Linked DNA regions of Coturnix japonica. The protein of the gene in region 2 interacts with the protein of the main gene of each other region in a biochemical or structural test. Links are inferred from orthologs where the notes say so. Each region holds a gene or a part of one and is shown on either strand. Other genes may lie near its edges. The genes, in order: TOLLIP and TOM1.

Region 1 (4,452 bases), on a different chromosome or scaffold from region 2:
GATACCCCGTCTAGCCTCAGCAATTTCGATTCTATACAACTAATATTACTGCATGAATCTCCAACTTCTGTAGAACTGTAGCCCAAGGCTCTACTTAAGCTTCTCAATTTAGAGACAGGCAAAGGAAAGATCTACATTTAATAAGCTTTAAAAATTAATAAGCCTTAATGAATAATAAAGCAAAATAAAAAGGGTAGCAAACTGCAAGCTATCAGACAGTTCTTAACTCATTCTCATGATTCTTTTTGCTAGAAATTTACCACCTGCTTTGCTTTCATCCATCTCCAAGCACTTCATGAGTCCAGCTGTTACTTTGACAGCATTTCCCCTTCCCATGTATACAAACTACATTTAGCCCCAACAGAATATTTTGCCACAAGCTGTTGCCTCTGAGTTTTCCCAGCACACTGATACTTAAAGATCTACAAAGCACATGCCATAGTGAAAAAGCACAGCCATTAATGAATTAAAAAAACCACTGGTTTTAGGGAAGGAAAAGCAATGATAAACCTACACTATTTTAGTAAGGAGGGAAATATTTTGTAATTTCTGGGCTAATTACAGCAGAAATAATCATATTCAAAACTGAGTTACATAATGAAGATAGAATGAATGAACGTCTTAAATTCAAGTCATGTTTACAGCAGCTCTGAGCTACATTTCAAAACAGACACTTAAACAGAGATGACAATACTTACGCAGTTAAATGACAGTATTAAAACAGGAAAAGAACCGAGCACTCGTTCCAGCTGCACAACAGAAGAGTTCAAACCAAAGCAGAAATGAACAGGGAAGCCAAGGGAGCAAAAACCTCAGCAGCTCTAGTTTGGCACTCAGTTTAACTTCGGAGGACCTGACTTAGTCATCAGCACTGCAGATAATCACAGACACCCATTCTGGGCGTGTTTGGACAGCTTAAGGATCAACACACAGCACTGGGGTCTCAAACTCAAGACTCAATCTGAAGCCCGACCAGACTGTTAGTGATATCTATCACTTGAAAAGAGTTACCTTTTAGCAGCCCCTCTATCTTCAGCTGCAGCGTGGATTTCAAAAGCTGTATTGATCTTCAAACAACACAAAACACAAAAACACACTAATTCCCTATTACCCTGAAGTCAGCCCAGGAAATCTACATTTTAGGATATTTACCCTTAGCAAACAGGATTCCAGCTCTGCTTCTTCTGCAAAACTCGAGAGCAATCAAAACTTTATTTACTTACCAAATAAGCAGCCTCAAACTAGAAAGCATGGTCCTAAGATCAAGACTGTCAGCAGCACACACTGCTTGCTTAGCTGCATGAAACCATCCTGAGTATTGTCTTACCTCTTCAGTAACAGTAGAAATGTTCTGTAGCACTGAAGGGAAAACATTTCCCAGTCCTTTAGCACCGTTTAGTGGCTATTCATTTGCAATGCAACTATAAGTAGAGAAACAAACAGAATTCTATCTTCTGCCCTTCAGAGAATTAAGGAAGCCGGTACGTACTGTATTGGCCTTCTCACCTATGAACGACAGCTTCTTAATGCTGCATAATAGTTCACTTGAAATTATCCCAGTTTCTAAAATGTTAAGACAAAGAAGGAAAGCACACACAGTGCTGGGAGTATATAAGAAAGAAAAAACTGAGGCCAACTCCAAGGAAGTCCTCCCTAAAATCTTATCTCAACCCAACAGGAGGTTTTAGCTTGATTAAGACAAGTCAAGGTTAAAAGTAATACATGAAATGTCAACAAGGTATTCAGCACAACAAGTAAAACTTCCCACAAAAAGAAATGCCGCTCCATTTCGTGGAGGTATCACAACCAGCACAATGTTGTCTCAGCAAATCAGTGCTGCAGCCAGGCTTGTGTCCAGCTTTATCCAAACCATCACAGCTGGCCACCATCTCCTTCAGCCCCTTCCTCTCACACTGATTCCCTACAAGTTCCCCAACCTTCTCCAAACATCAACTGAAGCCTGACTAGGTGTTATTTTAAAACAGTGTTGTCAGATACATATTTATTAGTAATACCTGTTACAAACTGAAAGAACAGCATTTGGGTGCAATCACACCATCGACTTTAAAACACCAGGCCCCCGTGGACAGCAATTGCCTAATTCATAGGTCACAGCACAGCAGCTGTCCAACCATAATACAAAGAATTAACTTAATGCACTGTTTTGACCTTAATTCTCCACCAAAAACTTACTCCAAGAAAACTCTCAAGCATTGCTCAATACTTCCAGCCAGGAGCAGCACATGGCACGTGAACTAGGCAACGCTGCAACACGAAAGCTGTGCAGTGCACTGTACAGCACCTATGCAAGGTAGAGGGTTGTTTCAGAGCAAAACTCGGCAGCAATAGCTTCCCATTTCACCCTCAGCACAGTCTCATAGGACTGTTCAACTGGACCGCTCGGTTTCCAGCCCTGCGGCTGCATCCTACCTCAGCACATTGAAGAGTGAGCACATCCCATGCTGCAGCTTCCAGGGACAGCTGTCTGAGGCTGCCCGGTCCGAGCAGGAATACAGGAAGCTCTAAACTACATTCAGGAGAAATACATCAAGCTCTGGTTTAGTTTACGCTGTTTTCTTCTTCAGAAGGCCCCTCTGGCACACGAGCGGGCACCAGAGCCTGTCGGAGGCGTGTGGGCAGAGAGAAGGACGGCTGCCCTGCCCTGTTAGGCGGGGACCGGGGAGCACAGGCAGCCTCACCCCTCGCCACCACATCGAACCGAGGACGGACACGTTCACTTTCCTCTCTCCCACGGGCCACCGGCCGGCAAGCGGGAGTTGGGCCTGGCAGAAAGCGGGATGGAAGAGCCCACACCACACCAGGCCGCGCAAGGATTAAGAGGCGAGTATACCCAAGGGCGAAGCCGTGTCCTGCCAGCAGCACTCACCGGGCCCCGCTGTGTGCTGACGGTGGTCGCCATGGCGCCTCCCTCGGGCCGAGCCTCCTCCTGCCGCCCCGCCAGGCCGCCCCGTTACCCGCAGCACCAGCCGTCACAGCGTGAGGCAGCGAGTCAGCTGACCCCGGGCCGGAAGCCCCTTGGCGATGGGGTGCGCGGTGCTTCCTGTCTGCGCATGCGCCAGCCGTTAGCAAGGGGGGGGGAATGAGTTAGCGTGTCCTGCGCATGCGCTGTTGAGCTCTGCGGGCTCCGCAGCGCGGCGCAGCGCAGGGCGCCGCTAGGGGGCGCTGCGGGGCTGGCAACGAGGCTGCGGGGCCGCCATGTTGAGGGCGGTGATGGCGTGCCCTTGGGCTGCGTTAAGAGAGAACACGGGAAGGAGGCACAGGCCGTGCTGCCCTTCTGCCAGCGTTGAAACCTCTCTCAGTGTGAGCTCCCACACGACGCCTCTGCCACCTCCTGCTGTGTATGAGAGAGCACAGTCTGACCGCAGGGTGCAGTGTGTGTGTGTAGAAAATGGCTTTTGTGTCATCCCCGCTGTGGCACTGACCAGTTGTCCACAGCACAAAATGGCTGCCCCAGATGAGGTGCCCTCCTTGAGCAGCACAGTGAGCTGCTTATCCTTCCAGAAGAACAAAGCAGCTTTAATATTCATCCGAGTGCTGCTTTGGGAGATCAAATCTGATCGTTTCAAAGCCTATTTAAATAACATAACTGTTTCCTGTTGTTAGGATCCGCTGCAAGAATTTTAGCCCTTAATTAAAATTCTAGTGTGAATTTCGGCAGCTGGAAATAGAACAGTGCAATTAGGAGCGCTCCAAATATAGCACTGACTTCTTTTTCACACTGCCATCTCATCTATATGGAGTGGGAACGGCCTCATCTTTCTGCTCGTCTTGATACTCAGAAAAATGAGTACTACAGGATATAATTGATTGGGAGCCATTGAACAAATATAGTTGATGCCAGATGCAAGCTAACCAGAAGAGAAAGGCTCTCATATTCCCTTATCACTGTCACCACTTCCTCTACTGGAAGCAGAAATCGAGTCAGCCCACAGAATTGTTAAAGAAGCAAGTCATCTTTCCCTTGCTTCTGCAGGTAGAAAAGAGGCTAAATCTGGAAATAAATGCATCTTACAATATTAGGTACATGGCCTGCGTGTACAAAGCTTGTATACTGATGGAGTAGCTGATAAAGAACGTGGTGTCGATATTACTCCTATTTTAACCTATGTGCTTACCTTAAGGTTAGTTATTAGCTGAAGGTGGCCTGTAAACTCAACAGAAATACCGGCTTTGCCATCTAGTGGACGTCCACGAGAACAGCGTGTCGCCTACAGCCACCAGGCAGGTGGTTTTGCTTCCCCAAGAGCATCATCACCACAAATAGGGAGCAAGAGCATTAAGTGAAGCATCTGATAGCAGTGTAGTAATTAAAATGGAATGTAAGCTGTGGGAAAGGTGAGAGAACAAAAGTCATAAAACCCTGTTATTTGTAACATACGAACATCATGTATATATTAAAAAAAGGTTGAAAGGTAATTAGAGAAGCTATAA
Region 2 (3,810 bases):
CAGCCGCACAGAAAGGCACTCTAACAGATGGAGATCAGTAGCACAGGTCTCTGAAGTCTGGAAGCAGACACGAGCCTATGGATTCTACTGTTTGGTAACCTATGAAGAACACTGGGTGATTCTGACAGGTGAAACAGAGTATGATTGTCAAATCTGTTAAGTCAAAAGGATCCAGTCAGTACAGTTCTTGCTGTCTCTTTCCAGTTAGAGGACTCAGAAAATTCACTCTTTGCAGAAGAGAAGAGACTTCTTCATTGTAGACAGTGTGTAGGCAGTACTACTAGATCTAACTCTTACTGCTTTACATCTGGAGGTCTTAACCACACTACAGAGGAAGAAAAACCAGTCCCACTTACCAAGAGGGAAACTGAGACCTATATCAATTCCCTGCCTTGCAAACCACAATGGATTGTGCACTTCCTGCACTTCAGCTATCACTGATATTCAGTGATAACTAAGTTCAATATCAGCCCAGTCAATGCACAGAGCAACTCATGATTTCAGAGATAGACAAGAAAACTGAGCCAGTCCCATTCTGCACCTTCACCTCTGACACTGAGCCTCAACAGCACATACAGCACAGCACTGTCCATTGGTGACCAATGTGTACACAGAGACCACTTTCTTTTCCACTTGACCAGGAGAACACTGAATGGCAGCAAGGGAGAATAACTGGGAAGGACATCCTACAAACACTGTGTGTGGGAAGAGTGCCTTTCTGTTGCACCCTACTGCCTCCCACCAACTGTTGCTGGCTGGGATCATGACCCCAACTCCCCTGCAACCTCCCCACTCAGAAGAAGGCAAGGACAGAGGGGCTACTACACTCACTCTCTGCGTTGCTCAGCCAGTGAGCTGCCACGGGTCACTGCAAACATGTCAAACTCTTCCTCCAGCTTGCCAGAGGTGTCGAGGGAGTGCAGCCCTGCACTCACGCTCCTTGAGCCCAGGGCTATAGGAGAGAAAAGATAGTAAGCAAGCAGCATGAAGACATGAATGGAGAGCTATGGGCTTAGAGGTGCTAAGTGGAAAGCTAACATTCAAACAGGTTAAAATGCTCCAGGCCCACTAATCGATTCTGCCCCTCAGAAGCAGCAGTGTATCAGTGTTATTGATGATGTGACAGAATCAGTTTCTTCTCCTACTCAGCAAATATTTTTAGCTCAGTCTCTGGCAGCAGCAGCAGCAATTTGCTGCACTTATTCTGAAGGGCACATGTTCCTGATCATTTAACACAGGGAATTGCTCCATAACTTGTGGAAGAGGATAACCTGTGTTACCCATTGGAGTAGATTTTCAGGAATTAAGCATCACCTGAAAAACTCTGACTTGAAAAACATTTCCACTAACTTGTTTGTAAATATAGTATCGTTAGTTCTATTCAATTGCATCCAAGTTGTACTGAGCATGCTCACAGTCAGTGAGAATTTCAGGAATGACTTTGTAGACTGTTGGTATGTCCTGGATACCCCTCAGGATCCCTCAGGTTTTCTGACAGCCTGTCAGCATCTGGGTCCTGAGCCCAAAATACTCACGGTTGCCTTTGCAGTAAAGCTCAGTGGCTTTTCTTCTCCAAGACCTTGGTGTCAGCCTCACACCACATGGTAAGAGAAACAACTGCACTGCTGCTAGGGACAGGAGGGAGAGCAACTTTCTCCCCTTCACCCCCCTGCTGGAAAGCTCAGCTCTTAGCCACATCCTAGCACTGAGATCCTTCCACAAGAAGGTTCACCTCCTGCACAATCCGAGGCGTTAATGTTGAGACGTGCTTGAGTCTCTTGGCATGCATAGATTTCTTCATTAGCTTATTAGTTGACAATATTCTCTGTCTAGGCTACTTTATGAATATGGCTAAAATATTTTGGGTGGTGACTGAAGTACATTACAGGTTTCTTATAGCAGCACAGGAGAAAGACTGAGGAGAATACTGCGAGGCAACATACTCATTCCAGCCAGCTGAGAGGAGAGGTTGTTGGTGACTTCAGGTTGTCTCACTGCAGAGGGAGTGCTGGGTCTCAGATCAATCAAGTTATTCTCTGCCTCACTTGGTGCCTTCGGAGGAAAAAAAAAAGGAAGATAGATAGTGAAGAGTTTGTGAGGCTCGAACACTTGGACTCCCCAGTCATAGCTTATTAGCACTGACAAGGGAAGCCCTAACTGTACCCACCAAAAGATATCAGCTGGGGAGCCTGTACTTGGGAGAAGTGGCTGGGAATAGGACAGAATACGTCTTGGTACCCAAGTCCCAGCTCTGCTGGGATGTCAGTAGATTAAGTGCTGGCTCAGACAACAGGCCAGTGATGATACAAGGAGGGTTATTTGAGAAATGTTCCTTTTAATGCTCAAAACCAAGAAACCACATCTACTGCTAGTCTGTCCATATTCTTTGGGTGAGGGGAAGGAGACTACTACTACAAAAGGAAAGTCTAGTGATGCAAAATGCAATGTCCTACACACTGGTGAGGTCTGGTGTGTCTGGGCTGGGAAAGAAAAACCTATAGCTTGCAAGTGAGGCAAGTCTGAATCTCTTTTCAACTCAGCAGGACATCACAGGTTGTGCGGGATGCAAACTGATCCATACAAAAGGCAGTAGCTTTGAATTACCTTAACAGGCTGTCCTGTCCGAACACGCTCAAACCTGCAAGGAAGATGACAGGATGAAACAGGATGCATTTCAGTAGCACATACTAATTCACGCTCAGCCCAAGAGATTTCTCAGTAAGGTTTGGCATAGCCTGCCCTTTCCTGCATACTAGGAAAGGGGGACCCTGTTCAGGGCCCAATTTCTCCCCTAAACAGAAGACACAAAAAAGGGGCCCTCAGAGTTGATGTCTCCAAAGACGTCTCCAAAGATGTGACGTAAGGAAGCTTCTTGTGAAACTTCAGAGCTACTTCTAATGAAAATGGTTCAAACCTAGCTCTCCTAGACAGACAGAAGAGACTAAATTCTCTTTACCCTAGTAGAAAAGATGAGTTTGGTGAAATGGAGGACAAAAGCAGGTAGAGATTTTACCTAGGCAAGTCCTTCCTGTGTCTGTCTGCCTCAGAGCTAGAAAGCCAGCTCTTTTCATGCAGTCCCTTTCTTCTTCTGGGTTATGTTTATATTCTATCAGCAATAGCGTATTGAAGGTGCATGGATAAGTCAGCAAGATCTGAAGACTAGCTCTTCTTTCTACAAAGGGTTATTCAGGTTGACACACCTTGATCATTACATTCATGGGCAGATCAAAAGGTGGGATAGACTATCAAAGGGCAGTCAACTCTTGCGGAAGAGTAGAGCAGGGAGGATAGAGGTACCTTTCATGGCGCAGAAACACATTGTTGAGGTTGTCATTGATGAGGAGTAGCTCCTCAGTAAGCTGCTCATGCTGGACACGGGGAATGAGCTCTAGTACACGCTGCTGCATGGCTCTGCATGTCCGATTCAGCTCCTGTTCATAGCAAGAAAAGTTACCACAAAGGTCAGGCTAAGGCTGAGCACTTGCAGATTTGAAAGTCTGAATGCAACAGACAGACTCCAGAGCCTACTGGAGTCTATCAGCAAGTGTAGAGGAGGAACAGAAGTTGGTACGAGAAATGAACCAAGTTTGGGATTTATAGTTACTAGTTTTCTCTGTCCCTGCAATAATTGCATACCACTTGCTTAACATATTATTCAGGAATAAAGGCCCTCAGGAATTTCAGGTCCTCGTGTGAGATGATTCCAACCTCAACAGGGCAAATTCCCTTAGTCACTGAAACTCCTCAACCCCCATGTCTCCCTTATCCCATCTGTCCCTGATAAGTCCCACACTGAACTGTTCCAGTGCA

The links.
Region 1: the proteins of TOM1 (region 2) and TOLLIP form a complex in vitro, tested with the Homo sapiens proteins (3 studies listed by BioGRID and IntAct, with this or other methods). The link is inferred for Coturnix japonica from reciprocal best matches to the Homo sapiens genes TOM1 and TOLLIP.

The regions. Positions count from the first base shown.
Region 1 is NC_029520.1:9,918,880-9,923,331, forward strand, and holds the start of TOLLIP (toll-interacting protein), read right to left. Parts: upstream 3,068-4,452; 5' UTR 2,921-3,067; coding exon 2,888-2,920; intron 2,452-2,887; exon of another isoform or gene 2,431-2,451; intron 1-2,430. UniProt on the Homo sapiens protein: Component of the signaling pathway of IL-1 and Toll-like receptors. Inhibits cell activation by microbial products. Recruits IRAK1 to the IL-1 receptor complex. Inhibits IRAK1 phosphorylation and kinase activity.
Region 2 is NC_029516.1:47,624,693-47,628,502, forward strand, and holds part of TOM1 (target of Myb protein 1), read right to left. Parts: intron 3,432-3,810; coding exon 3,298-3,431; intron 2,639-3,297; coding exon 2,605-2,638; intron 2,053-2,604; coding exon 1,944-2,052; intron 953-1,943; coding exon 832-952; intron 1-831.